Linked DNA regions of Caenorhabditis elegans. The protein of the gene in region 4 purifies or fractionates together with the protein of the main gene of each other region. This does not show direct contact. Each region holds a gene or a part of one and is shown on either strand. Other genes may lie near its edges.

The links.
Region 1: the proteins of cox-5B (region 4) and ndab-1 fractionate together in Caenorhabditis elegans (co-fractionation; one large-scale study listed by BioGRID). This does not show direct contact.
Region 2: the proteins of cox-5B (region 4) and cox-6B fractionate together in Caenorhabditis elegans (co-fractionation; one large-scale study listed by BioGRID). This does not show direct contact.
Region 3: the proteins of cox-5B (region 4) and ndua-2 fractionate together in Caenorhabditis elegans (co-fractionation; one large-scale study listed by BioGRID). This does not show direct contact.

The regions. Positions count from the first base shown.
Region 1 is NC_003281.10:11,914,653-11,917,509, reverse strand, and holds ndab-1 (Acyl carrier protein), read left to right. Parts: upstream 1-1,797; 5' UTR 1,798-1,799; coding exon 1,800-1,943; intron 1,944-1,999; coding exon 2,000-2,257; 3' UTR 2,258-2,357; downstream 2,358-2,857. Other genes in the region: Nuclear pore complex protein npp-16, read right to left, coding at 1-54, 106-603, 824-1,380, 1,438-1,575.
Region 2 is NC_003281.10:2,781,342-2,789,771, reverse strand, and holds cox-6B (Cytochrome oxidase c subunit VIb), read right to left. Parts: upstream 3,571-8,430; 5' UTR 3,569-3,570; coding exon 3,512-3,568; intron 3,465-3,511; coding exon 3,345-3,464; intron 3,282-3,344; coding exon 3,093-3,281; 3' UTR 3,018-3,092; downstream 1-3,017. Other genes in the region: tbcc-1 (C-CAP/cofactor C-like domain-containing protein), read right to left, coding at 941-1,065, 1,123-1,327; nduc-2 (NADH dehydrogenase [ubiquinone] 1 subunit C2), read right to left, coding at 1,809-1,882, 2,565-2,910; Y71H2AM.20 (Serine/threonine-protein phosphatase 2A activator), read left to right, coding at 3,828-3,905, 3,956-4,081, 4,148-4,237, 4,283-4,625, 5,473-5,837, 6,821-6,946; Y71H2AM.6 (DNA/pantothenate metabolism flavoprotein C-terminal domain-containing protein), read right to left, coding at 7,001-7,243, 8,007-8,430.
Region 3 is NC_003279.8:14,109,848-14,117,715, reverse strand, and holds ndua-2 (NADH dehydrogenase [ubiquinone] 1 alpha subcomplex subunit 2), read right to left. Parts: upstream 4,081-7,868; coding exon 3,908-4,080; intron 3,864-3,907; coding exon 3,797-3,863; intron 3,752-3,796; coding exon 3,713-3,751; 3' UTR 3,631-3,712; downstream 1-3,630. Other genes in the region: TLC domain-containing protein fld-1, read right to left, coding at 1-9, 313-433, 528-636, 689-777, 826-951, 2,394-2,549, 3,004-3,231, 3,447-3,509; dnj-29 (J domain-containing protein), read left to right, coding at 4,625-4,748, 4,809-4,924, 4,985-5,140, 6,508-6,744, 6,805-6,913, 7,408-7,651.
Region 4 is NC_003279.8:9,784,980-9,793,633, reverse strand, and holds cox-5B (COX5B-domain-containing protein), read right to left. Parts: upstream 4,626-8,654; coding exon 4,440-4,625; intron 4,414-4,439; exon of another isoform or gene 4,144-4,413; intron 4,135-4,143; coding exon 4,035-4,134; intron 3,984-4,034; coding exon 3,871-3,983; 3' UTR 3,783-3,870; downstream 1-3,782. Other genes in the region: tba-1 (Tubulin alpha chain), read left to right, coding at 6,010-6,011, 6,244-6,476, 6,527-7,140, 7,186-7,701; drsh-1 (Ribonuclease 3), read left to right, coding at 7,912-8,268, 8,319-8,638.

The DNA.
Region 1 (2,857 bases), on a different chromosome or scaffold from region 4:
ATTCCAACTCCAAGCTTTGTGTATTCTTTTCCGGTGAACTTGAACACGGATACTCTGAAAAAATAAAAATTTAAATTTCCATTAAAACAATGCTCCTAAACTGACTTGCTGCTCAGCACTGCATCCGGCTCCTGATTTTCGACGGTTTCCACCTTCGGAGGCACATATTCTCCCTCATCGTCTTCACCAGAACCCTCTGGTTTCGCCTGATTCTGATTTTCCATGGCTTTCTGTGCGAGACCAGCGAATCCGCTGAAAAGGCTTGAGCCTCCAGTGGAGCTTGAGCCAAATGATAATGGTTGAGTGGCGGTGGTGGTGGTGGAGGCAGAGCTTGATCCAAATAATGAAGCTGCCGTGGAAAGAGCCGAGAAAGGTTTTGGAGCCGATGTGGTAGAGTCTGCGGAGCTTCCTCCGAACACCAGAGGCTTAGAAGGACTGGCTCCGAATAGAGAGCTAGCTGGTTTCGGCAAATCTGCTTCTTTTGGTGAGCCAAATGTCAATTTTGGTGTGGAATCCGCAGCTTTTGGCTCTTCGGAAGGCTCGGCGGGCTTCTTTCCGAACGAGAATCCACTGAATTTTGGAGTTTCCTTCGGCTTGTCGCCACTGAAATTTTGATATATTGGTGGGTTTTTTTTAATAGAAAATAGTCTGAAATTGCTATTTTTGCAAAAAAGCCGACATTTTCGATTTCTAGTTGGAAAAAACAATTTTTCAGCGTAAAATGTAGCATTCTCACCACGAAAATGCTATTTTTTATGTGGCAAAATGTTAGAAAATTCAATTTTAATGAATTTTTTCCAATTTCGATTATATATATACTAACTCTTTTCCCAAAAATGCGAAAAGTGAGCCTGAATTACTCGGAGCCGCCGGCGCATCAGACTTTTTCGTCCAGAAATCCTTGGTGGGCTCCGGAAATTTGATCGTCGTAGCCGGAATCTTCACACTCGACGTGGCGGCTTGTCCGTCTTCGCCCGATTTGAAAACCACTGATTCAGCTCCACCGAGAGGTCCTCCGCCACGAATCGCGCGTTTTCGGGCGGTCGCTGGAGCTGCTGGAGCAACGAGTGGCTCTGCGGTTTTTGCGAGTGGAGCTGGCGTTTCCTTGGTTATCACTGAAATGTCGCCAAACTTGGGCACAGACGCGACTGTCGCCGCCGGGCTCGAGGCAGCGAAAACTGTAGAATTCAGCGGATTTTTTGGCGTTCCATTCTTCCGCACAGCTTTGGCTATTTTCCGCGGAGCAACTGTTTCTCCAGAACTTTCAGACGAGTTTTCGGTTCGTCTGGGCACTGTCATATCGGCTGCAACGTCATCATCGACCTTATAAATCTGCTTGAGCTGTGCCACATGATCCATATATGATTTCATAGTTCCAGACTGAAAGATTAGATCTTTAATTAGACATAAAAAAAAGGTTTTAAACCTTAAACTTACAAAATCATAATGATTCTTTTCCGTGAAATATCCGTTGATGACTTTGAGAAATTCTGCATTCAGGAGGCTCATTTTGTCGCGGAGCCGGAACATGTTCATTTGTTGCTCAGAAGTTGGCGGTGGAATTAGGGAATTCATCACGAATCTGAACGAAAATCTGTTTTTTAATTTGAATTCGCAAGACTGTGCAATGTGACGTGACGGTGTTTGCGTACTCGGCATCAAACCCGACGACGCTTGCGGGCGTTTCTTTTTATTTTTCACTTATTTTTCAGGCTCGATGAGTCATTTCCCGATTTCCCGTCAAATTTTTTTCGAATTTCGGTTCGAAAAATTATTATTAATTATTTATTTGTTCAGAAATGTTGCGAGTCGCCGTTTCCGCTGCTCTCCGCACTGTTTCAGTGCGTGCACTGAGCAATGCGTCCGTCCAACAACGAGTCATCACCCCAATACTCCTCTCCGCACAGAAACCAAGCTTCCAAATCAGACAATACTCTGCAAAGGTGGGAATTAACAAAAAAAAAATATTTTTTCGCAAAAAGAAAACAACATTTTCCAGGCTCCACTGACCAAAAAGACACTCGAGGAGCGAATTGTGTTGGTTCTCTCACTCTACGACAAAATCGACGCGAAGAAGCTCACAATGGACTCGGATTTCTCGAAAGATCTCGGCCTCGACTCTCTGGATCACGTAGAAGTTGTGATGGCGATGGAGGAAGAGTTTGGATTCGAGATTCCCGACGGAGATGCGGATCGCTTCAAGACGCCACGCGACATCTTCCAGTACATCGCCGACAAGGAAGACGTTTTCGAATAATTTTTGTATTTCTTTATCTTTTTAGCTGCAGTAGAAATATTTTCTATTATCATTTTTTTTTGTTTTTCGGATTTTTTTTCAAAAATAAAAGTTTGAAATTCATTTAATAATTTTCGCGTTGATAAAAAGTTAATTTCTTTCTGATATACTTTTCTCAAAGGCGCACAGATTTAGGGGTCTCGACGCGAAAGTTTATGGTAGCCGCTTTTTTAGTGCATTTTTCCAGAATTTTGGCGTTTTTCTTTCTTTTTTTTTGTTGAAATTTGTTTTTCAAGTCGAAAAACAGGAGAAACACAAATTTTTAATGAGAAAACTAAAAAAAAAAACGTTTTTGCAGCGAATTTCGTTATTTTTTCTTGTTAAAAATTGATTTAAACCAGTTTTTTTCGTTTTTCAGTTCAAAAAACAGAAAAATCACAAATTTTTGAGCAAAAAAAACTGATTTAGAACAATTTTTTCATTACAATTTTAAAAAAAGTGTTTTTGTTTACATTTTAGCAAATTTTATAGGTGTTTTTCTGTCGAATTATGTTTTTTTTTCAGGTCGACAATCTATACAAACCGATTTGAATCAGTTTTTAACAAAAAAAATCAAGAAAA
Region 2 (8,430 bases), on a different chromosome or scaffold from region 4:
AAATTGGATAACTTTCTTTGAAAGCGAATGTGGAAAAACGATTTATTTGTTATGCTTTTAAAAATGTTAGAATTGCAAATTTTCCTAATTTTTGTCAAAGAGAGAATAACATTTTATTTTTTCAATATTTTTTTTCACTAACAATTTGATTAAAATGATGAGTATACTGGGAACATGCTTGCTGTTGACAATATTTTATGATTTCAATTGAAATCAGAAAATCTCAAACGCATCACGCGTGAATGAATAGTTGTAAGTCTACTTTAATGTATTCGACCAATCTTCGTGATTGTTTGACTGAATTTGTAATATGACCGGCCAATTATCTAGAAAAAATTACATGAGTGGACAGATTTGTGAATTCTGTGGCTTTCTCTGCAAAAACTCCTTCTACAATATGCAACGAAAAATCAAATATCCGTTAACAGTGAGATACTCCATTATATAGATTTTCATGTAGCTGTTTTTTACTTTGAAAAGTCTTTTATCATTTGGAAGAAAAGAGAATTTAGAACGAAACAGTAATCATAATTGTTGTATATATATCACGATCATGTGAAGCCGATGGAAATTTGGAAATGGTGTTTTGTAATCTTTATGGACTGCAAAAAGATTGCAAATTAATCTTAGAATATTACACATTTTTTTGTAATATTTTTAGATTTCAGAAAGATTGCGAACCAATCTCAAAAGATTGCTATGTCATCTCAAAATATTACGAATTTTTCGTAATATTTTCAGATTCAGAAATATTGCGAATCAACCTCAAAATATTGCGAATTATTCTCAAAAGATTGCTCAATCTAAAAAGATTTCGAATAAGTCTCGGAATATTGCGATTTTATCTTGAAATATCACCCAACTACAAAAATATTGCTATTTAATATTTTCATATTAGATTTGAGTTGCCTGAGAAAATCAGTGAAAAAAACCACCGAACTGAAAACGAAAAACCCTTGAATTTGGGTCCAGAATTCAGCGCGAGCTTCTGTTTTCGAACGTCTTCAAGGAAATTTTGAATTGTTTTAGTTTGCCGGTTACTCGTCGAGAACGCCAGAAATTCTTCTGAAAAATTGAAGAAAATTATCGATTTTGTTTGTTTGAGGCGGGGAAATTTCTTACGAAGCCGGTCGATTTTCTGCGAATCGACGGATTTTTTCGCTTCCAAATCCGATTTAATTTCCGCCATTAAATTATCGATTTGTGCTCCTTCAGATTTCGATAAACATTCTTCAGTTTGCACTTTTCGTTCTTCATTTCTTTGTTCCAGTTTTGCAATTAATCGATCTTTTCGATCCAATAAAATTTGTTCCGAAGATGCTTCCATTATGCTGAAATCTGGCGTTTTTTTGCGCGATTTTTGTGGCAAAAAACTGGTCTCGCCACGACAATTTTGAGTTTTTTTTTAAATTTTTGATCGATTTTTCATAGTTTTTTTTTCAGATTTTATAGAAATTTATGTGTTTTTATTCTAGTTTCGTTAAAAAAATATGCAAAAATTCTCATAAAATGTGAGAAAAACTATAAAAAATCAATAAAAACCACCGGAACAAAAGTTTAAAACTACAGTACTTTTTAAAGGCGCATCCCTCTTCGCATTTAACACAAATTGTCGCGTCGAGACCCAGGATATAGTATAGTATTTTTGCCCCAAAATTGCTTCTGGGTTAATTAGTTATATTCAAAACGGCTCAAAAGACCAGATGGATGCTGAAAAATGAAAAAAATGAGAATTTTCCGGGAAAAAAATCAATAATTCTTCATTTAATTTACAATAATGAACTAAAAAGAGACTTCGAGAGAATTGTTCAGTCGTATCTGGTGTACTGGGTTCTGCGTGGATACCATGGAAGAAGAACTTGAGAGAATGAACGTCCACTGCCTGAAAAATAAATAGATTCCATGAATTTTTGATGATTTTCTTGCATTTTTCACTAGAAAATCTTCCGTTTTCCCAGAAATTTTGAATTTTTTAGCCAGAATTCCCTTTTTTTCGCACTAATTTCCAAAATAATTACTTAGAATTGCGAAAAAAAAACTGAATTCTAGTCCAAAATTCAAGTTTTCTGTGATGTGTCGATTTACGCAGCTCGTGTACTCCTCGAGGAGAAGATTAAGCTGAAATGCGCCATTTTCACTATTTTTTTTCTGAATTTAACATAAAAATCGGTGATTTATAGTATTTTACATGAACAATGACGAATTTACTGTTAAAAAATACGAAAAAACCGATAATTTGTAGTTTTCCATGGTGTTTTAGGCTAAAATCGGTTTTTCACGCCAATTTTTGCTATTTTTAAGATAAAAATCATTGATTTGGGTGTTTGAATGCAAAAATTGGTCCGAAATCGAGCATTTTAGCCAAATCTTCTCCTTTTCAGCGTTTTTTTTTCGGGGAAAATGTATATATTTTCTGCATTTATCACAGAAAATCGCGAAAAATACGGTATTCTCTGGGGGGAAAAAGCCGAAATCTTTCAAATTTGATCGAATTCAGCCGGGTTTTTTTTTCGAAATTGCAGTAAAATCTGAAAATCGATTTTTCAGCAAATTCCAAAACTCACGATCATTAAAATGGTCGAAATCCTCTGGATGAAGCTTCATGTAGTGCTCGATGACTGCGTCTCTCGTCTGATAGTGTCTCTCTCGAAGTGCTCCGGCAGCGTATCCGGCGGCGGTGGCGGCTCCGATGAGCAAAAGCCGTGGAACAATTGCGTAGTAGTACGGCTTCTTGTTCCATCGATTTTGCAAATAAACCGAAGCCAGCGAGATTCCGAGCATTGCACTGGCACCCTTCAATGGGTAGCTCCATGTGAATGGATCGGCCAGGTGACGAGCTCTGTGTCCTGCGCGAATAAAGGTCTCGCGGCGCTCGATTTCCTTCTCGCTGACGCGAGTTGAGTCAGCCATGGTTTCCACTGAGAAAATTATTTATTTGGGGGAAATATGATTTTTAAAAAAAATGAGATATTTCAAGCGTCTCATAACGCCATAAGAAATAAAAGTGTTTAAAATATTTTACAAGTGACACTTTTTATCGAATATCAGCACTAATAAAACGCCTGTTCTCGAATACAATCGAACAATCTCATTTAGCGATCGAATTTAGCTGGGAAACGTCCCTCGGAAAGAAGCTCGTCCCATCTCTCGGTCCAGAATCCGGGGCAGAAGTCCTTGTAGACATTTTGGAAGAACTTGCACGGCTTGTAGTCCTGTCCCATGAGCTCATTGCAACGATGGAAATCGACGTAGTAGGCGAAGCATTGACGTTGCTTACGGACCTGAAAACTTGTACATTTTTATTATTAATTAATATATAATAAATTTTAAATAAAGTTACCAACCTGTGGGAATCTGGCGTCGTATGGAGCAGCCCAGAGAAGATCCTTCTTCACAGACTCGTGGGTCTCCTTCTTGTACCAGTCTGGCGAGTCTGGATGACGGAGAGCATCGGAGAACTTCTCCTGTAAATTTTTATCGATAAAAATGAAGAAAAACGCTAAAAATTCACCTTGTATTGCTGGAGTCTCTCGTAAGTGGTTGGGGGAACCTCAACTTCGACAGGCATTACTGAAATTGAATATAATTGAAATTTAAACACGGGCGGTTATTTTCAAAGCTCAGAAATCCGTGAAAACCGAATTAAACAATATTTAAAATCAATAAAAATTTTTCACTAAAGACGCTGCGCGAGCCACACACTCCTATACACCTCTCACGCACAAAACGCTCCACAATGGGGTTTTGCGTTGGAGCGCACTTGCTGCATTATTTTTTTACATAACAAAGTTCTAGAAATCAAAACAAATAGATTTTTTTCCAGAAAAATGGCTGAAAACTCGTATAAACCGCCGGAAAAGATGATTAAAAATGTGTTCGACCTGAATCCGTGGTACTTTTCCAAGGTAGAACAGAAATTTTATCGATTTGAAGGATTATGAATGGAAATTTGCAGGCTTACGAGGAGTACCTGGCTTTCTTGCATCGTTTGAATGATTCTGTAGTTGGAGTTCATACAACTGCAGACATGAGATGCACAGACTTGGTTATCAGCTTTATCGACATGCTGGATAAGCTGGAGGTTCGAGAAATTACGGAAAATTACGAAAAACCAGATTTAAAAAAATAAAAAATGGATTTTTTTCAGAAATGGGCTGAGGAAATTCCTCTGGAAGATGTTTCCGAGCAAAGATTTGGCAATAAAGCTTACAGAAAGTTTTATGAGAAGCTTTGCAAGGTTTTTAGCTCAAAAATGTATTTAAAAAGATTTTAAAAATTCCAGGAATCCCCAGATCTCCTAGCCAGCGTTCTTCCGGAAAACGTCCACGATGCTCTAGTCGAACTGGTTCCATATTTCACAGAATCCTTCGGAAACGCCACTCGAATCGATTACGGCTCGGGACACGAGGCGAATTTCCTAATTTTGCTGTTTTGCCTGCAAAAGTTGGGCGTTTTCACAGAAAATGATGACAAAGTGCTCGTTCTTCGCATTTTTAACAAGTATTTGAGAGTGTGCCGTCATCTGCAGACCAGATTCAAGATGGAGCCGGCTGGAAGTCGTGGAGTTCATGCGATTGACGATTTTCAGTTCGCGCCGTTCATTTTTGGAAGCGCTCAGCTTATTGGTAATATGTTGGAGCAACTAGAAGTCTTGAAATTCAGGAAAATAGCTGAATTTTCCATTAAAAACTCAAAAATTCTCAAGAAACCACAATTATTAAGTCGTTTTCCGAAGAAAAACCGACTTATTTTCACAGATTGTCGGAAAATTCTATCTAAAATGTCTTTTTTCACAGTATTTGTTCAAAAAACGTTCATTTTTCAAGGATTTTTCATTCGAAATCATGCATTTTTCCGTTTTTTCGTTGAAAATCATCAAATTTCACGATTTTTGTCGAAAAATCACAAATTTTTGCGATTTTTTTTAAATAAAAAATCAACAATTTTCCCGATTTTTCATTAAAAAATCATCACATTTTTGCGATTTTTGCCAAAAAATCATAAATTTTGGCAATTTTCCTTTAAAAATCATAAGTTTTCACAATTTTTCATTGAAAAATCCTCAATTTCTCCGTTAAAAATCATCAATTTTCGCGATTTTCCTATTAAAAATCCGGGAAAAATCGTTTAAAATCTTCAATCTACAACATTTCCTCGTAGGAAAACTTCAAAAAAAGCTAGTTTTCACTAAATTTCCTGTGAAACTTAAAAAAGGCACCGAAAATGACAAAAAAAAATTTTTCTACAATTTTTCTAGAAAACCCCGCTTAAAAGCATATTTCTGTGAAAATTTCAGAAAAAAAATTATAAAATTTTACTAGAAAATCACCTAAAAATCTAGTTTTCTACCAATAAATTACAAAAAAAAAAACTTTTGAATTTCCAAAGCTTATATAGGCCTGAAATATGTTGAAAAATGCCAAAAAATAGCCAAAAATCCGCTCCAAAATCTTAAATTGTTTCGATTTTCAGGTTCAAAAAGTATCGTGCCGGACAGTTACCTAAAAAAGAATATTGTTGAGACTCACGCCCACACAAGTCTTTTCCTGGACTGCGTAAACTTTATCAATCAAACAAAAACCGGCCCTTTCCACGAACATTCAAATCAACTTTGGAATATCTCAGCAGTTCCACACTGGAAAAAAGTCAATAGTGGAATGTTTAAAATGTATGAAGGAGAAGTTTTAAAGAAGTTTCCAGTTGTTCAGCACATGATGTTCGGCTCTTTATTCTCATTTGATCGATCGGAGCATCCAAGAGAATCTATGGAAGATGCTCCGTCACAGGATCCGATGCCTCCAAGAGCTCCGGCTCAGCATGGAATGTTCGCTTTTAAGGTTAATTCGGAGAAGAAAATGGTAAAAATATCGACAATTATAGAGATTTTAAAGCGAAATTTTCAATTTTTCACTGGAAAAATTGATTTTTTTGAAAAATAAATGGAAAAAATCGAGAAGAAGTGGTGATTTTTTTGGCAGAAAAACCAATTTTCACTGAAAACGCACTAAACCGCTGAATTTTCACCTTCAAACAGAAAATTCTTTTAAAACTGATTTTTGTCAGAAAAAAACGTTTTGTATGGAAAATTACGATTTTTTGCTGGAAGAATTGAGAAATGACCAAATTTTTCAACAAAAGCTATTATAATCGCCTTAAATTTCGAGTTTTCCCGTAGAAAACTTACAAAAAGTGTATATTAAAAGTGTATATAAACCAATGAAACCCAAGATTTTTGTTTCTTTTTCTAAAAATTAGTAGAAAAATTAGGAAAAAAAATCAATTTGTTATGACCCTTTTTCTGAAAATTTGCGTTAATTCTGAAAAAACCACTTTTTTTACAAAAATTTTTTATGGTCGGTCAAAATATCGAAGAAAAAAAAGCCAAATTTTGCTAAAATCTGAAATTTCGCACACTTTTCTTTGTCACAGCCGCTGGATTTTAATTTTTCTGAAATTATCAACCTTTAATCCTTATTTTGGTGATTTATCTCGCGGAAATTCGTTGATCGAGACAACTTTTAGGCCGATAGGCACCCAAAAATGATCAAAATGAGATAAATCACCAAAATAAGGATTAAAGGGTGATAATTTCAGAAAAATTAAAATCCAGCGGCTGTGACAAAGAAAAGTGTGCGAAATTTCAGATTTTAGCAAAATTTGGCTTTTTTTTCTTCGATATTTTGACCGACCATAAAAAATTTTTGTAAAAAAAGTGGTTTTTTCAGAATTAACGCAAATTTTCAGAAAGAGGGTGATAAAAAATTGATTTTTCCATCATTTTTCTCACAAACTCCCCCTGAAAAATCAAATATTATTTCAGATCCCATCCGCCGCCAACACTTCAACCGTCCATTCGTCATCTGTCGTCGAATCTGGAGACTTGCGACGTCTTCACAGTGAGAAACATCCCAACGAGCACTGCCCACCACCAATGGCCGATGCATGATCTCTACTATATTAAAATATTTATTCATTTTCCGTGAAAATCATGACTGTATATCTACATTTGTGCATCAATAAATTGTCTGTGTAAAGCGCTAACACGATCGATTATAAACGATTCGATCTCCAGCTCGGGGGCTCCCGGAGCAAGATTAATCTCCTCTCCTTGCTCAATATTCTTTCTGACGAGAGTTACACGTTGCTTGCGAGTTGATAGCATATTCGCGATGACGAGTTGATGGCCGTACTTGGAGAGAGCAGCTTTTGCCTTTGGAATCAGCTTTGTTTCGTCCGTTTCTAGCTGGAAATTTACGAATTAAATTGAAATTTAGCGGGGGGAAATGGGCATTTTCAACTAATTTTTTGATTAAAAATTGAGAAAAAGCACGAAAAATACAGTAGAAATTGAATTTATGTACTTTTTCTTCCAAAAAAAAAGAGAAAAAACCGTGAAAAAAAAGTACATTGGACATTGAAATATATTGAAATATAGTTTTTTTTTCTAAAATTGAAAAAAAAAACCGATTTTTTTAAAACACCTTTTGCCATTTTTCAATAATTTTTTAGTTAAAAATTGAAAAAAAAATCATATTAAATTACAGTAACCCTTTAAAGGCGCAGGCCTTCTTTTAAAAAGTTTCTGCGGTCGTGCCGATACCCGCCAAAGGAATTTTTGCATTTTTTCCTGGGGTTTTCGTTTTATTTTTCATTTTCACTTCAAATTTCAAAAATACTGTTAAATTTCAACCAATTTCTTGCGGTTTCTTTAGGTTTTCGTCCTTTTTAAACAATTTTTTGCTAAAAAGTGGAAAAAAAAGCTACAGTAACCCTTTAAAGGCGCACACCTTTTTTCAAAAAGTGTCTGTGGTCGTGCCAAGACCCGTCAATATAATTTTTGCATTTTTTCGGGATTTTTTTCGATTAAAAGTGGCAAAAATATCCAATTCCAAGTGGTTTACGGGAGAGAAAACCAAAATTTTCGATAAAATCGCATTTTTTGGACATTTTTGCACAAAAAAATCGGTGAAAATAGCAAATTTCGATCAAAAATCGCAAGAACAAACTTTAAACGAGACGATAAACGCATTCGGGATGAAGCAGGTGACAACTTTTTGAATAACTTTCGGAGCAACGCTGAGCTCCAGGCTCAGCTCGGTGTTGCTGGCGATTTTGTGAGTTGGCAGCTCGGTGACGACAAAATCTGAAACCGCAGCGGCCAAATAAGCCATTGCACGGGATCCCAGAGGATTTAGATGAATGCAAATTTGCTCGAGACGTGACATATACTGATCGAAGGTCTTGAACGGAATGTACAGAATTTTCTCCTCGTACTTGAACTTGTCCCGCAGAATTTGCGCGAGATTCGGCAGATCACACACAACATTCTCCCCATCTAGCTTCAGCGAATTGAAAATATTCGGAAAATGCCTGGAGAACGGCTTCAGGGACTCCTCGCGGTGCATGAAGATCACCGCGTAGCCGGCTCGC
Region 3 (7,868 bases), 4.3 Mb from region 4:
GTCGGGAGCCTGAAAATATCGAAAATTGTTTAAAAAAAAAGGAAAAAAAAAAGGAAAATTGGAGTTTTCTAAAGCATTTTTTCTCCAAAACAATGGTTGAGGCTCGAAGACTACAAACTACACAAAGTCCTCTGAGCCTCAACCATCGTGGTTGAGGCTATACTGGTTCTGTAGTTTGTAGTCTACAGCCTCAACCAACTTTTTTCTCGCTTTTTCCTTCGAAAAAATCGTTTTTTCTTCAAAAGTTCGGCGTTTCGACTAAAATTCGGCTGAAAATTCCGAATTTTTCAGTTAAAAACTTAAAAATCTCACCCAAAAGCCCATCAGCTGCCAAAAGCCGGTAAGTGAGCACTGTATTTGTGGAGGCGAGCGAGGCGATGACTAGACCGTTAATAATTGATACATACCACTCGAGATCCGGAATTGAGACCACCTGGAACATGGAAATTGTGCAAATTTTGCCGTGTTTTTAGTGAAAAAATCATCGAAAACTCGATTTTTCCACTGAAAAATGCACAAAATCTCACCACAAAATAGACTAAATACGCAGAAACGCAGAGACGGAACGCGAAAAGTGTCACCATATTGAGCAGAGCGATTATACGGAACGATGGGCTCTTCTTGTCGACTCCGTACCTGGAAAAATAGGTGATTTGGCTGAAAATCACGGAAAAATCGCTGAAATTACAAGTTCAACAAGCTCCTCGAGTGCAGGAAAATCGAGTTGAGCTCCATGAGCAATCCGAACACAACGACGCCGAGGAATCGGTTGAAAAACTGCAAAAAAATTGGGTTTTTTGGGGGATTTCAGCAGAAAACCCTCACCATTGTGACGGCGAACGCGGAAAGAACGACAACATGATGGAAAAGAAGCTCGATAATTCTGGCGGATTGCTCATTGACCAGAAGATCGACGAGATCGTGGAAAAGGTATCCCGCAGACATTAGAACCTGAAAATTTTGAATTCAGTTGGGCTTGGACTACAAACTACAAGCGAGAAGCTTGAAAAAATGGAAAAATTTCGAAATTTGTAGAAAAAATCGAAAAAAAAACGTGAAAATTTTTTGGTTGAGTGAGGCTATAGACTACAAACTACAAAAAATTGAGAGCCTCAACCAACGTTTTTAATGCTTTTTTGGTAGAGAATCGAGATTTTTTGAATTTTTTAACAATTTTTTCTTGTAAAAATAGGCAGGAAATGTGAAAAATACACTATTTTCAGCACAAAACTGCATTATTTGTGGGGAAAATTGGATTTTTTGGTTGAGTGAGGCTATAGACTACAAACTACAAGTATCTCAGCCTCAACCAACGTTTTTAATGCTTTTTTGGTAGAGAATCGAGATTTTTTGAATTTTTTAACAATTTTTTCTTGTAAAAATAGGCAGGAAATGTGAAAAATACACTATTTTCAGCACAAAACTGCATTATTTGTGGGGAAAATTGGATTTTTTGGTTGAGTGAGGCTATAGACTACAAACTACAAGTATCTCAGCCTCAACCAACGTTTTTAATGCCTTTTTATCAAAAAATCGTTATTTTTTTCACAAAAAATGGACAGAACTCACAAATTGGTTGAGAAAAGTTGAAAAAGGGACACTTTTTGGCATTAAATTGCATCATTTGTGGGGAAAATTGTATTTTTTCGTTGAGTGAGGCTAAGACTACAAACTACAAAAAATTGAGAGCCTCAACCAACGTTTTCAATGCTTTTTTGGTAGAAAATCGAGATTTTTTGAATTTTTAAATCATTTTTTCTTAAAAAATAGGCAGGAAATGTGAAAAATACACTATTTTCAGCACAAAACTGCATTATTTGTGAAGAAAATTTGATTTTTTCGTCGAGTGAGGCTATAGACTACAAACTATAAAAACTTGAGAGCCTCAACAAATTTTTTTTCACTAATTCACTCGGAACTTTCTTGAAAATTCGAAATTTTTGGCAATTTCTCACAAAAAAATCGGCGAAAATTGCAGAAAAACGAACAAAATTCGATGAAAATCGCAACATTTTGAGCAAAAACGTTCAACTTTTGTATTTTGTAGTCTCTTCGTGACTCAATGATGGTTGAAGCGATGGGACTACAAACTACAAATTCGGTTCAGCCTCAACCAACGTTTTCCGTGCTTTTTTGTTACAAAATCGACATTTTTTGATTTTTTTTCCTCAAAATATGGACAGAACTCACAAATTGGTTGAGAAAAGTTGAAAAATTGCCAATTTTTAGCACTAAATTGCATTATTTGTGGGGAAAATTGATTGATTTCATTGAGTGAGGCTATAGACTACAAACTACAAGTTTGTGTAGCCTCAACCAATTTTTTTGGTTTTTTTTATTCGAAATTCGAGTTTTTTAGTCATTTTTTCCGAATTTTCTCGCTAAAATCTAACCAAATTGATTGCAACGTCACATCGATAATTAACGAGGTCCTGAACGAGCTGTTTATAGTATAAAAGTGCGTAGGCGGCCCATAATCCTGATATAACCGAGTGGAATAGTGAGACACATTCGTTGGAGATTCGCCATTTCTTATTCGGTGGGATAGCCTGGAAAATGTGGAGTTTTTAGGTAAAAATTCGGAAAAATTTATATTTTCTGGCTGATTTGCTGATTTGGTTGAGGCTCAGACTACAAACTACAAGTTTGTGTAGCCTCAACCAAGTTTTGAGCACTTTTCAGGAGTTTTGGGAAAGAATTTCAACGTTTTTGTAAAGTTTTTATTGAAACTTGTAGTAGAAACTCTAGAAATAAGCGATTTTGATAGAAATTTCAACAATTTTCGGCGTTTTGAAGCAAAAGCTGATTGGTTGAGGCTAAGACTAAAAACTACAAATTTGTGTAGCCTCAACCAACTTTTTTTTTGATGAAAAACTGCTTAAAATGCTGTAAAATCGATATTTTTCAACAAAAAATGCTCAAATTTCGAAAAAAAAAACTGCTTTTTTAGCTCAAACTTCCTAGTTTTTGGATTTTTTTTGCAGTAAATTTCTGAATTCTCACCGACAGATCTCTGCTGTCGGGCTCGGGCTCCTGTTCGACCTGCTCGCCGGCTTCTGCCTCATTTTCAGGCGGATTTTCAGTATTTTCAGCTTCTTGACCGCCTCTCCGTCTCCTCCGAATGCGGTTTCGGATGTCGAAAAAGTTAAAGTTCGGCCACGTCCATTTGCCAAATAAGTACCAACGAACGATGAATTGCAGGGCTCGGAAGAAGGCAAATGAGACGATTACCTGGAGAAAATGGATTTTTGGGCCTAAATTCGCAGAAAATCGGGGGTTTTTGGCATTTTTTGAGTGAAAACTCACAAAAATAATCGAAGAAATCGTTGTTGATTTCATTGGAAAATTAGAAATAAATAATAATTAATTTTTCACGAAAAATTATTTAAAAAATTAATTTTTTTTTGAGTTTTATTTGAAATTATTTGAAATTTCGAATTTCTTACCCATAAAAACATTGTTGGCACTGGGCCAAGAAGATCCGTCAACAGCTCCGCCAGCTGCCGCATTTTCCAGAACTGTCTGAAAAAAAACTGATAAAAATTGGAAATATTACGGAAAAATAGGTAAAACAGTAGGTTTTTGGGTGAAAATACCCGGAAAATTCAAAAAAATTCGCTTAAAAAAGCTATAAAAACGATTTATTCAATGAATTTCTACAGGAAAAATTAAAAAATTAGAATTTTTTTTCGACTCTAAACTCTTCGCCAGGTTATTTCTGGGACGCCAATTGAGTAATAGTAGATTTGACCTGAAAATATCGATTTTCGGCATTAAATTCCACCAAAAATCCTACATTTTCTCTCGACAAATCCTCCAAAGTGGCGACTCGCTCAACTCCGTGCTCGTATCTGGCGAAAACTCTGCAAAAAACCGCAATTTCACCCAAAAATCGATAATTTCCCACCTTGGCACGATGCCAGACGCCTCACGAATCAGAATTGGGAACTGTGGATTGGCTTTTTTGATTCCAACATAGTCGTTTTCGATGAACGCGCGGACTCCCGCCGATGCTGGACTTTTCTGGCAGACGTGGATGCGAATCTCGCGAAGAGCGGTGCCGGCAAGACGGACAGACATCTGAAAATCGATATTTTAAGCTTTAAAATCAAAAAAAAACTTTAAAAAATGCAGAAAAATCCAATAAAACCAACAAAAACCGATTATTTTTTTCGAAATTTATTATAAAAATAAATAACCCGTGATCCCGCCCACTTTGGCAAGCGCGGCGCGCGGTATTTTGCAACTCCTACGCACAGTTTTGCTGTTTTCATGTTTTTTGAGCAAAGTCTTTGAAAATTGCTGATATTTTAGGAAATTTGCCTAAATTTTGCTAAATCTATCAAATTTTAGTGCTAAAACAAGTTTTTTCTCAATTTTTTGAGTTAAAAATCACGAAAAACCCATTAAAATCATCAAAAACCAATGACTCCGCCCCTTTTTGCAAGTGGCGCACGCAATTTTGCAACACCGCCGCACAGTTTTGCGGAAGACACTGCAAATCGAAGTGTCACGTCATCGCACATTTTTTCAGTTTTTCAACGTTATTTTCGATATTTTCAAACGAAAAACCACTTGATAAACTCAAAAAATCACTATTTTTACAGTAATTAATCGCTAAAAAATGGGCCGCGCGTCGTTTGAGTACGACGAAGTCGGCAACACATTTTACTATGTGCTCGTGGCATTCTACGCGATTATTCTGTTCCCGGCGACCTACCTATGCCTTCCAGGAGCCTCGAAACCAGGTAAAAATCGATTTTTTGGCTTAAAATTCATAATTTTTTCGTATTTTTTCGTATTTTTAGAACCAGAACACGTGATCAACGAACACGAGTGCCAATGCGACGGTTGTGACAAGAAAAGACGACAAAAAGCGGCGAATAAGCCGTGGCGACGGACTAAAAAGATTATTACCATCGTTGTAAGGCTTTAAAACTGAAAAATCCGGAAAAAATCCACTAAAAATCCCAAAAAATTGCAGGTTCTCGTTGTAGCGTGGGCAATTTTCGCGATAATTGTGAAAAAAACGACTGAAATCGAGCAAACTCACAAGGACTATGACCCGTATCAGATTTTGGGTCTGGATCAGGGCGCCGACGAGAAGGCCATCAAAAAGGCCTGGAGAGATATGTCAAAGGTGCTGGAAATTGGAATTTCGGCGATTTTTTACTGAGAAACCCCTATTTTCGACATTTTTCAGCTTGAAAATCGAAGAAAATCGAACTTTTTACTGTTTTTTACCTCGAAAAATGCAGTTTCCAAGTATTTTAGATGAAAAAATTGTTTTAATTTTTGGTTGAGGCTCGCGAATTTTGTAGTTTGTAGTGTTAGCCTCAACCAATTTTTGTGCGAAATCTCCGTAAAATATGGATTTTTTCGTGGAAAATGCCTCGAAAATCGAAATATTTTTGCAAAAACCTGATTTTCAAACACTTTCTCGCCAATAAATCTAATATTTAGGCTATTTTTACTGGAGAAACCCAATTTTTTCATAATTTATTGCAATTTTTACTCTAAAACTAAATTTTTTGCAATTTTCGGTCGGTTTTGCGTCAAGATCTATATTTTTGGTTTTTTTTTCCGCTGAAAACCAATTTTTTCGCTAAAATTGTTGAAAATTTATTTTTTCCCACAGAAAAGCCTCAAAATCTTGAAATTTCACTCCATTAGATATTTTCTCGAAAAAAAAGCTTATTTTCGACCTTTTTCGGCTTGAAAATCGATTTTTTTGACTTTTTTTGCCTCCAAAATTGCAGTTTCCAGGAATTTTAGGCTAAAAATTTGCATTAATTTTTGGTGAGGCTGGAGATTTTTGTAGTTTGTAGTGTGAGCCTCAACCAATAATCATGCATTTTTGGTTGAGGCTAATCACTTTTTGTAGTTTGTAGCGTGAACCTCAACCAATTTTTGTGCGAAATCTCTGTAAAATAGGGAATTTTTTTGTGGAAAATACCATAAAAATCATAATTTTTCGCCCAGAAAACTGAAAATTTGGCTATTTTTACTGGAAAAGCCCACTGTTTCCCAAATTTTATTGCATTTTTTCACCCAAAAACTAAATTTTCGGGCACTTTTATTGAATTTCCGACAGTTTTTCTCGAGAAAACATGAATTTTGTCCTGTTTTCGCCTTAAAATTTCTGAAATTTCAGTAATTTTTGGTGAGGCTGATAGTTTTTGTAGTTTGTAGTGTGAGCCTCAACAAATTTTTGTGCGAAATCGCCGTAAAATAAGGAATTTTTTGTGGAAAGTACCATAAAAATCATAATTTTTCGCCAAAAAACTGAAAATTTGGCTATTTTTACTGGAAAAGCCCACTGTTTCCCAAATTTTATTGCAATTTTCACCCAAAAACTGAATTTTCGGGCACTTTTATTGAATTTCAGACAGTTTTTCTCGGGAAAACATGATTTTTGCCCTGTTTTCGCCTTAAAATTTCTGAAATTTCAGTTTTTTCCCCACAAAAATGCTCAAAAATCTGGAATTTTTACCCAATTTTTTGCAGATTCACCATCCGGATCGTGGAGGAGACGCTCAATTCTTCGATAAAATCGCCAAGGCTCACCAGGCTCTCACCGATAAAGAAGCTCGCGAAAACTGGGAAAAATACGGAAATCCAGACGGCCCAACTGCCACAACTTTCGGAATTGCTCTGCCCAAATGGCTTGTGAGCAAAGAATACGGACTCTGGGTGCTCGCTTTCTATGGGCTCATTTTTATGATCATTTTGCCCGTTTCTGTTGTGAGTTTGGCGCTGGAAATGGCGGAAATTGGAAATTTTCGCGAAAAATCGATTTTTCAGGGAATGTGGTGGTATAGCTCGATCAAATACAGCGCTGACAAGGTTCTTCTGGACACCACACGAATGTACTATTATTTCATCAATCGGACACCGAGAATGGAGATTGGAAGTGAGGAAAATCGATTTTTCCACAAATTTTCAGCCAGAAAATTGCTTTTTTGGCGATTTTTCACCCAGAAAGTCGGATTTTTGGCAATTTTTCATCCTGAAAATTGATTTTTAGGCAATTTTCCATACAATAATGGAATTTTGAAAGTTTTCGACGATTTTCCGCTAAGAAATTCGGATTTTTGCCAATTTTCATGCAGGAAACTTGAGTTTTGACTGGTTTTCACCCAGAAAATCAGATTTTTGGCAATTTTTTTGGGCAAAAAACTCAAATTTTGACGATTTTTACAAAAGTCCTGGTTTTCCACGAAAAAAAAATTCAAATTTATTACAAAAAAAAAACCACTAATTTCAACAGAAAATCGCAATTTTGTGCTGGAAAATCCAAATTTTCTGGAAATTTATTAATCTCAAAGCTAAAAATTCGGTTTTTCAGCATTTTTGCCAAGTTTTAAATACATTTTCACCCTGAAAATCAATTATTTTTAATTTTAGGAATGATCGCCGTGCTCTCTGGATCCTTCGAATTCAGCAAACAGTACAATAAGGAGATTCAGGAACGAGAAACTGATGATTATGAGGTTCCGAGGCTCATGAAACAGATTGCCGGTGTTAATGATAAGGGAAAAGAGCAACCGTTGAGCCAACCGTATGCACTGAAATCTCGTGTACTTTTACACGCGTATCTGTCGAGATTACCACTGGAATCGCAAAATGATGCGTTGGAGGAGGATCAGAGGTTGGAAATTGATGGAAACCCAGGAAAAAGCATAAAAATCGCACAATTTTGATGGAAAATTCATAAAAATCGATGAAAAATGACCCGAAAAGCGAAAAAAATCTGGAAAAATAATTTAAATTGCCAAAATTTCACTATTTTTGGCGATTTTGTGATAAAAATTGGTTGAGGCTTACATTACAAACTACACAGTTTGGGAGTCTCACCCAAATTTGGT
Region 4 (8,654 bases):
TATATCGCAATTGTTTTCAAAAACCATTTTTGCGCCAAAAATTCGATCGACACGCTTATTTTTGGAGGCACCACGGTTTCAAGATCTGATGGGATTCCGGATCTACGTTTTCCGGATCTACGTTTTCCGGATCTGGCACCGTGCCAACGCACAAAACGCTTTTCAACGCACGACTTTTTTCGAAATTTTCTTCTAGAAGAAACGCTTAACAACACGCGACGCGTAACATCGGAGCGTCGTTGTCAATTTTTTCCTCGAAAAAATAGCGTTTCATAAGTTGGCACGGTGCCAGATCCGGAAAACGTAGATCCGGAAAACGTAGATCCGGAAATGGTCGATCCGGAAAACGTAGATCCGGAATCCCACCAGATCTTGAAACCGTGGTGTCTCTATTTTTGTAAAAAAAAACAAATATGTGTGTGCCTTGAAAGAGTACTGTAGTTTCAAACTTTTGTTGCTGTGAAATTTTTATCTATTTTTCATAGTTTTCTATTGTTTCTTTAAATAAATGCGCATATTTATGACGAAAAAATACGAAAATCCCACAAAATGAAAGTTTGGAACTACTCTTTAAAGACGCCTATTGTTTTTGATTTTACAACAAAGCAAAAAGGTTTTCGGCGCGAAAATCGCAAAATATCGGGGTTCTGGCGGTTTTTTTGACAACCAGAATACTGGAAATGTCGATGCAAATTAAGGAAAATCAATGAGAAGAAGTGAATTTGGCCTGAAGAAGTGAAAAAGTCATTTTCAAAAAAGTGTCCATATTCTACAGATGGCTCAAAAATTAGCCATTCCAGAAAACAAAACTATTTTTCTAAAGAACACAATTGTTTCCCTTGTTTCTCGGGGGGTCCAAAGAAATCAAAAATATCCAAGAGCCGTTTCACAACTTTCTTGAAGCCAAGGGTGCACACAAAAAACTGAAAATATGTAGAATTGGTTCCCATCAAATTAATTTATTGAAAATCAAAAAGGCTTTTTGCACATTTCGATGAATAATTGTTTTTAAAAAAAACAGCTCAAAATAATAAACCGAAGAATCAGATTTATCTACTTTAAATTAAAACAATCACTGATGCAGCAGTAAGTCAATCAGGTGTGTAATATAAAGCATTTCTGATGATCAATAGAATAGTTCAAACAACTTTTAGATTTTTTTTTCCTTTTTTAATGTTTAGTGCACCCTTGATTGAAACTACTGTTATCACCAAAAACGCAGATTTTTTTCATTTTCTGACTTTCGTGGTCATACTCCAATGCAATAAAATATGGCTCTTTGATGTATTTCCGATGAGATTATTTATGTTATCGTACTAAATGTATTCACAAATGGATATGATGACGTAGGAAGAGATCTAGAAGATTAGATGAGGGCGTTTTGGCATCAGGTGCCAATGAAAACGTATAAAAAAGTTTTATGTGTGTGAAGAGTGGAACGGAATTGAAGAGAAAGCTGCATTTGAAAAGAAAAATAAACGTTTTTTTTTTGTATAAATAGAGCAATTTCTTACTTTCTATATAGAAAACACAGAGAACTTTTGAATAGAAAGCAACGTTTCAAAGATGAATCATATTATGACGATTTCACCGAATTTATTTTCGCATAGCTAAACAAGGAAATATAAAGAATGATGAAGTGAACGGTGCATTATTTCAATTTTTGGATTACTGTTTCAGGAATTTTAAATTGAATAATGAATTTGAATAAAACTTTTAGACATATTTGATTTCATATTATACATTTTTCTAAATTTTTAGAATGATTTTTTCCGAAATTCCCTCGCATTAATCTATATTTTTAATATTTAATTTGAAACATTTTTTGCCAAATTTTCATCAATTTTCCGTGAGGGAAACTTGATAACCTGAAAGAAATTGAGATAAAAACAATAACATGGAATTTTTAATTTTCGAAACTAGGTGATTCATTTTTGCGGGAATTCGAAATTAATTCAACATTTTAATTTTTGCTAAATTAAAAAAGATTATTAGAAATATTTAGAAAAATTGTATTTTCAAAAAATTTGACAGTATTTACGATCCATTTTTTTTTTGTTAAAACACATTCCTCAACTTATATTACTTAATTAATTATTTAATCATTAAGGCAAGAGAAATTTGATAAAATTGGAAAAAAATCAATTTTTGAAGCTTGGAGGCTTTTATGGAAAATGTATGAAAAAGTAAAATTGTTTGGATCACCGAAACGGGCCATAACAACCGATTATCCAAGATTTCCGTTTCGGAAAACGAAGAAAATGTTAGAGAGTAGTTGAGCGAAACAAAAAAATGAGAGAAAGGTTTCCTTTTTTCTCAGCGTCTAGTAATTTTTCTCGTGGGGATTTTCGATACTCTATCGTTGTCAGAATAGTCAGACGACGAATAACAAGATGGCAAATTGACGTCACGTGGGGGGAAAGCTGATTCATTGTAAATTCTGTTACGATTAAATAAAAATCATATAAAATGGATATGAGTTTGAATAACACTAACTGAAAAAAACCCTAGTAGGAAAAAATAGTTCAAAGGAATTTCTTCACGATGAAAAAGAGTTCCAGTGCCAAAGCGAGTTCAGCAGGAGCTTTCTAACATCTCTACCCACCCTCTTCATCCTGTTACACTATTTCGTCTCACGGAGAATATTGATTTTGACGAGAAAGAGACGAAAAGATGCGCACACAGACACACGCACATGCGAGAAGGCTGTCAATGAGAAGAGAATCAACCCTCGAGACACACAAATACTGAGTTCCTACTGGTTTTGAACTTGTAACGCCGTTTTTTTTCTGAATTTTTGAGATGGCAATGGAGGGAGGGGTAATTTTAATTTGGCAGCAAGCTGCGCCATGGTTTGTCGCGAGAAAGCTCGTTTAGAGTTTATGAAGCGCAGGCGTCATAGAACACTGGCAAAAAATCTCCTAACTTTTGTTTTTAATTAAAATTAATTAATTTATGTTTTTTTTAATAAGAAACAATCTAAATATTACCTAGATTTGTTATTTATGTAAGTTCTATTAAAAGTTGAATTTGAACAAGAAAATTGGGCAAACACGAGTTTTCCCATTGACCACGAAACTCTGTTATCATTGAAAATCAGAATTTAAAAAAAAAGAAAATACGCAGAGAAACAGTCTGATTGGGTAAAGCGATAGTGGAACACGAGACCCGAAAAAATAACAAAATTCTAGTCTTTGAAACTTCAAAATAGGATGTTACAAATGTAAGGTTCTCGTCAAAATAGTACGGAAACTTGTTTTACGTAACTAGCGTCATGTTTTTAAATGATAAAATGAAAAAGGAAGTCACTAATGGTTCGAAAATTGGAAATGTTTTGAAGAAGTGAGTTATTACTTTTTGATGTAATGCTCAAGCCTGGGCTCTAAATGTATAAATTCGATCTACGACAACACGAAAGCTTAAAATTGTTGAAATGAAGGCAAACAATTGCCAATTTAAAAACAAAATTGTATGTGCTAGTGACAGCACGTGATTTTGAAAACCAATAACAAAATGAGAGGAGCGAGGCATCTGAACTCAGATTTTTATCAGCTAGATTCTGTGGAGGTTGACGGGAGAAACAGCATCATTGATTGTTGTTTCCACCTGTTTTGTTCATTTTTAACATTAACCACCTAATCCAGGAGATTGTCAGGGAAAACCTACGAAGAACATTTTTTCATGTAAGAAATGTAGGTTAAATTGATAAAAAATTAATTTACAGAAATAGGAGACATCTTGACGAAAAACAAAGAAACGAATTGAACCAACTCTAGAAACAGAATGGTTTGTCTTCAAACCAGCGCGTTTTATTTTCACTGATGGAGCGATCTAAAATAAGTCGGAACAATAATCTACATTGAAAATTGTTTAGATGGATTCTGGGTCGGCGTCGACTCCCTTGAACCAGTGTCCGCACTCGCATCTCTTTGGATCTCCTTTGCGAATTGTCATGAAATTGACATGTCCGGAATCTTGCTCACCTGAAAAATAGTTGTTTAATTGAATCAATCATGCTTTTAAATATAACTTACACATGCATCCAATGATTCTGAAGTCGTAGTGAGATGGGACCAAATTTGGCTTCTGCTTGGTGGAAGCCTCAGCGCGATAGTAGACTTTTGGCTCGTAACGCTGAAGAATGAAACTTTTATTATTTAACTTTGAAAAGATGAAGAAATAGTAGATAATTTGCCACTTTTACTAAATGGGTTTCATTTTGTAAACACTTTCTCATTAAAAACCAGTATTAGATACGATAACGACTCAAATTGCAAATCTCCCTCAGATCAGCTTCGACAAAGTTCGTTCAATACGACTCACACTTCAAGACAAAATCTCGAGAGCGAAGTAGCTCACAATTAGCTAAATTGATACATCATGGGGTATACTTTGGAAATTATTGGGAAAATTGTTAAATTTTATTAACAAAAACTCACATCATCTCCAGCAAGACGAGCGAGAAGCATCTTCTTTTCACGTCCGGTAGCGTGCTCAAGTGGATCTGGGTAGTATCCGTAGTCTTCTGGCGAGGCTTCAGTGGCCAAAGTACGACGGGCCACGGCAGCTGGAGCGACGAGCTTCTTCGAAAGGGCGGCAACAGCCGTCTTAGCAAGTTGAGCCATCTGAAAAATACAATTGTATTTCTCAAGTATCAAAAACGACTAAATATAAATTCGATTTCGAATGAAGAAAATTATCGATCGGGAGTCTAAAAATCAAAAAAGGAAGGTGGCCTTATTGAAATAGGGTTAAATTAAAAGATAAACCTCTTGAAAAATCAGAAATTTTTTGAAGAACACTTATATTCTGATTGGACCCTTGAAAATGCGAACAATAGCCGAAAAGAGCCAAAAACGCTTGGCACGATTTACGGAGCCTCAGTGGCGGGCGTACACTCGGCGTACACTCGGCATACACTACGCGCGTCTGTTGCAACGCACAAGACGCTCCTCAATACGAAACACCGTAATGCGAAGAGGATTTGAATTCGTTTCGTCCACTAGGCGCGCTCGGGAGAAATTTTCACTTTTTTTGGCGCGAAACAGACGACAATAGGATTGGGAGATGGCTGTCATTCTTTCTCATTTTTCGCTTCTCAATCGCTCGTATTCTCTCTCTTCGATTTGCTCCTAAAATGGAGTTGTTTGAAAGTTGACTCGTTGTCTACACATGCTGTAAATATTGAGCCACATTTTATTGTTTGTTAACAAATTTTCTTGATTATATTGCAACTTGTGTGTTCAATAGAATCTTTAGTTTTAGGGAATTCGTTTCTCCAGCGGCTAATAAAATCATTATAGATTTGCATTTCGGCTTCTACTTTAGTTACGTGCTATTGCTTGTGATGTTTTTAATTTTTATTTATTTTATCATAGCTTATTTACTGAAACTTAAACTTCGTTTTATTATTTTTTGCATTGAAATCTGAATCGTCCCGATGAATATTTGCATTTTCATGAATAGGACATCCAAGCGTCTATATCATGAACATCGGATTAAGGTTTAGTGGAGAACCTATTTCGCAATATACACCAGATGGCCACTACTAGTCATGTCCACCGAGGAATAGGGTCGCCGCTGTCCTTGGCCAATCGGACAAGCGTCGCTCGTTCCTCTCTCTGACCCGGCACTGCCTCTCTGACCAGTTTCATCCAAGTGACAGATGTCTAGAGCAAGGCAGAAAAGATTGTCGTCTTTAGTCTTCCAATTTGAGTTGTTTTACCCTTTCCTCGCACCAGAATATCTAATGACGAAGAGCTCTGTTTTCTTTCCCAGCCCGACTTTCATTTCTCATTTGACTAGATGCATAGAACCCAATAGGGTTTGACTGCTGTGTATGTACCACGATGCAATGGGCGTAATTGCTCTCTGTTTTCAACGGTCCGAGTCTTTTTCGCTATTTCGCAATACTCTTGAGAGCTAGCATTTCATATGTATGCAATTGGGTTTGTTTCATTTGGAGGCTCATAAATTTTATATCCCAAACCTTCTCCATCTCGTTAACTAATGTAAGTTCCTGGTTTTGTTTTTATTTACTTGTTGTAAACCTTGTACCAAGTTTATATCTGGTTTATTGCCCTGAAAACTATTCAGCCGGAATTGTCAACAGGATTATTTATAATTGAGTTGACCTTGTTTCCTAGTTGATCGACTCCTATGATTTTATCATTCGTACTTTACGCCATATGTTATCCGCGTTCATTTATGATTTCATTTCTTCTAATTTCCGTTAATTTTCAGGTTCGTTTTCAACATGCGTGAGGTCATCTCCATCCACGTCGGACAAGCCGGAGTCCAAATCGGTAATGCTTGCTGGGAGCTCTACTGTCTCGAGCATGGAATCCAGCCCGATGGAACTATGCCATCAGACCAACAAGCCGATGGAGAATCTTTCACCACCTTCTTCTCCGATACTGGAAACGGAAGATATGTTCCAAGATCGATTTTTGTAGATCTTGAGCCAACTGTTGTTGGTAAGCAATAATAAAAACCGTTTCAAATTCAAATTTGTTTTTTTTTTCAGATGAGATCCGCACTGGAACCTACAAGAAGCTGTTCCATCCAGAACAGATGATCACCGGAAAGGAAGATGCCGCCAACAACTACGCTCGTGGTCACTACACCGTCGGAAAGGAACTGATCGACACTGTTCTCGACAGAATCCGTCGCCTCGCTGACAACTGCAGTGGTCTTCAAGGATTCTTCGTCTTTCATTCATTCGGAGGAGGAACTGGATCTGGATTCACCTCATTGCTTATGGAGCGCCTCTCGGTTGACTATGGAAAGAAGTCGAAGCTGGAATTCTCCATCTACCCAGCCCCACAAGTCTCGACTGCCGTCGTTGAGCCATACAACTCTATACTGACGACTCACACCACCCTCGAGCACTCCGACTGTGCGTTCATGGTCGACAACGAGGCTATCTATGATATCTGCCGCAGAAACCTCAGCGTTGACCGTCCAAGTTACACCAACCTGAACCGCATCATCTCGCAGGTTGTGTCTTCCATCACCGCTTCCCTCCGTTTCGATGGAGCTCTCAATGTTGATCTCAATGAGTTCCAAACCAACTTGGTCCCATATCCAAGAATTCATTTCCCATTGGCTGCGTACACTCCACTGATCTCTGCTGACAAGGTATACATTTTTAATGTCAAATTGTTAAAAAAGTAATGATTTCAGGCTTACCATGAGGCTCTCTCTGTCAATGACATCACCAACAGTTGCTTCGAGCCAGCCAACCAAATGGTGAAGTGCGATCCACGCCACGGAAAGTACATGGCTGTTTGCCTCTTGTACAGAGGAGATGTCGTTCCAAAGGACGTCAACACTGCCATCGCCGCCATCAAGACCAAGAGAACCATTCAATTCGTTGACTGGTGCCCAACTGGATTCAAGGTCGGAATCAACTACCAGCCACCAACTGTTGTTCCAGGAGGAGATCTCGCCAAGGTACCACGTGCCGTATGTATGCTCTCCAACACCACCGCCATCGCTGAAGCCTGGTCTCGCTTGGACTACAAGTTCGATCTTATGTACGCCAAGCGCGCCTTCGTTCACTGGTACGTCGGAGAAGGAATGGAGGAGGGAGAGTTCACCGAGGCTCGTGAAGACTTGGCTGCTCTCGAAAAGGACTACGAAGAGGTCGGAGCTGACTCGAACGAGGGAGGAAACGAGGAGGAAGGAGAAGAGTATTAAACTCGTGCCGCCTGCTCCAATCTGCATAATACTGAACTCGCATCAATTTCTGCTTAATTCGCTTCTTTTTATTTTTTTCTAAATTTTGAATGAAAAGAGTTCCAATTTCTATGCTCATCGCTTGTGTTGTATACGATAAATTATTTCGAATCAATTACCATAGTTAACGTTTTCATCTGAAATTGTAGACAGATTTAGATTTTCATTTAGATGTCGGACGAAAAGATTTCAATGACGCTTAACTTCCCGAAACACAAGCGGGCTCGAAGAAAGAAATATCAGAAGGAGTATCAGGAACGTCACAAGGAAGAAATGATGCAGCAATTAGGAAGAAGATTTCAAAATCAACCATCAACTTCAAGTGCCCCACCTGATACTGTTGAAAAAATTCCATTGCCTACTGAATCAACGTCAGCATTGCCATTTGGAGATTCTCCAAGATTAACAGAAAAAGATTATGAGACGAATTATATGATAGATCCTCCAGTTGTTTCTACACATTCGGCAGAGCTTATAAAATCGAATAGAGTTGTTATAAAAGCAGAAGAAGCTGAAAAATATATGATGGTACGATTTAACCGTTTTCGTTTTTATAAAAATGTGGTTTTTTATTTCAGATCAAAGCTAAATCAACAACAAGTAAAATACTTCAAGATTTTCAAACTAAAATTCTGGAAACTGTTAAAACAAAACGTCGACTTCAAGCTGATGTTCCTTATATAATTCATCCATGTCATTCAATGAAAGGCCGGAAAACGCCAAAACAGAAAGGAGGAGACGAAAGTTTTACGGCATCTGATGTGTCTGATGACTCGAACGATTCTCAGGATGAAGCTTCTACTTCAGAGCCAACAAACAGACAAGCTCCTGAAGCGGACAAGACCGGAGAAGTAAAAGATGAGAAACAGACATGTAATCGGAGGAATCAACAGAGAAAGTATGCAGCTTCTCTA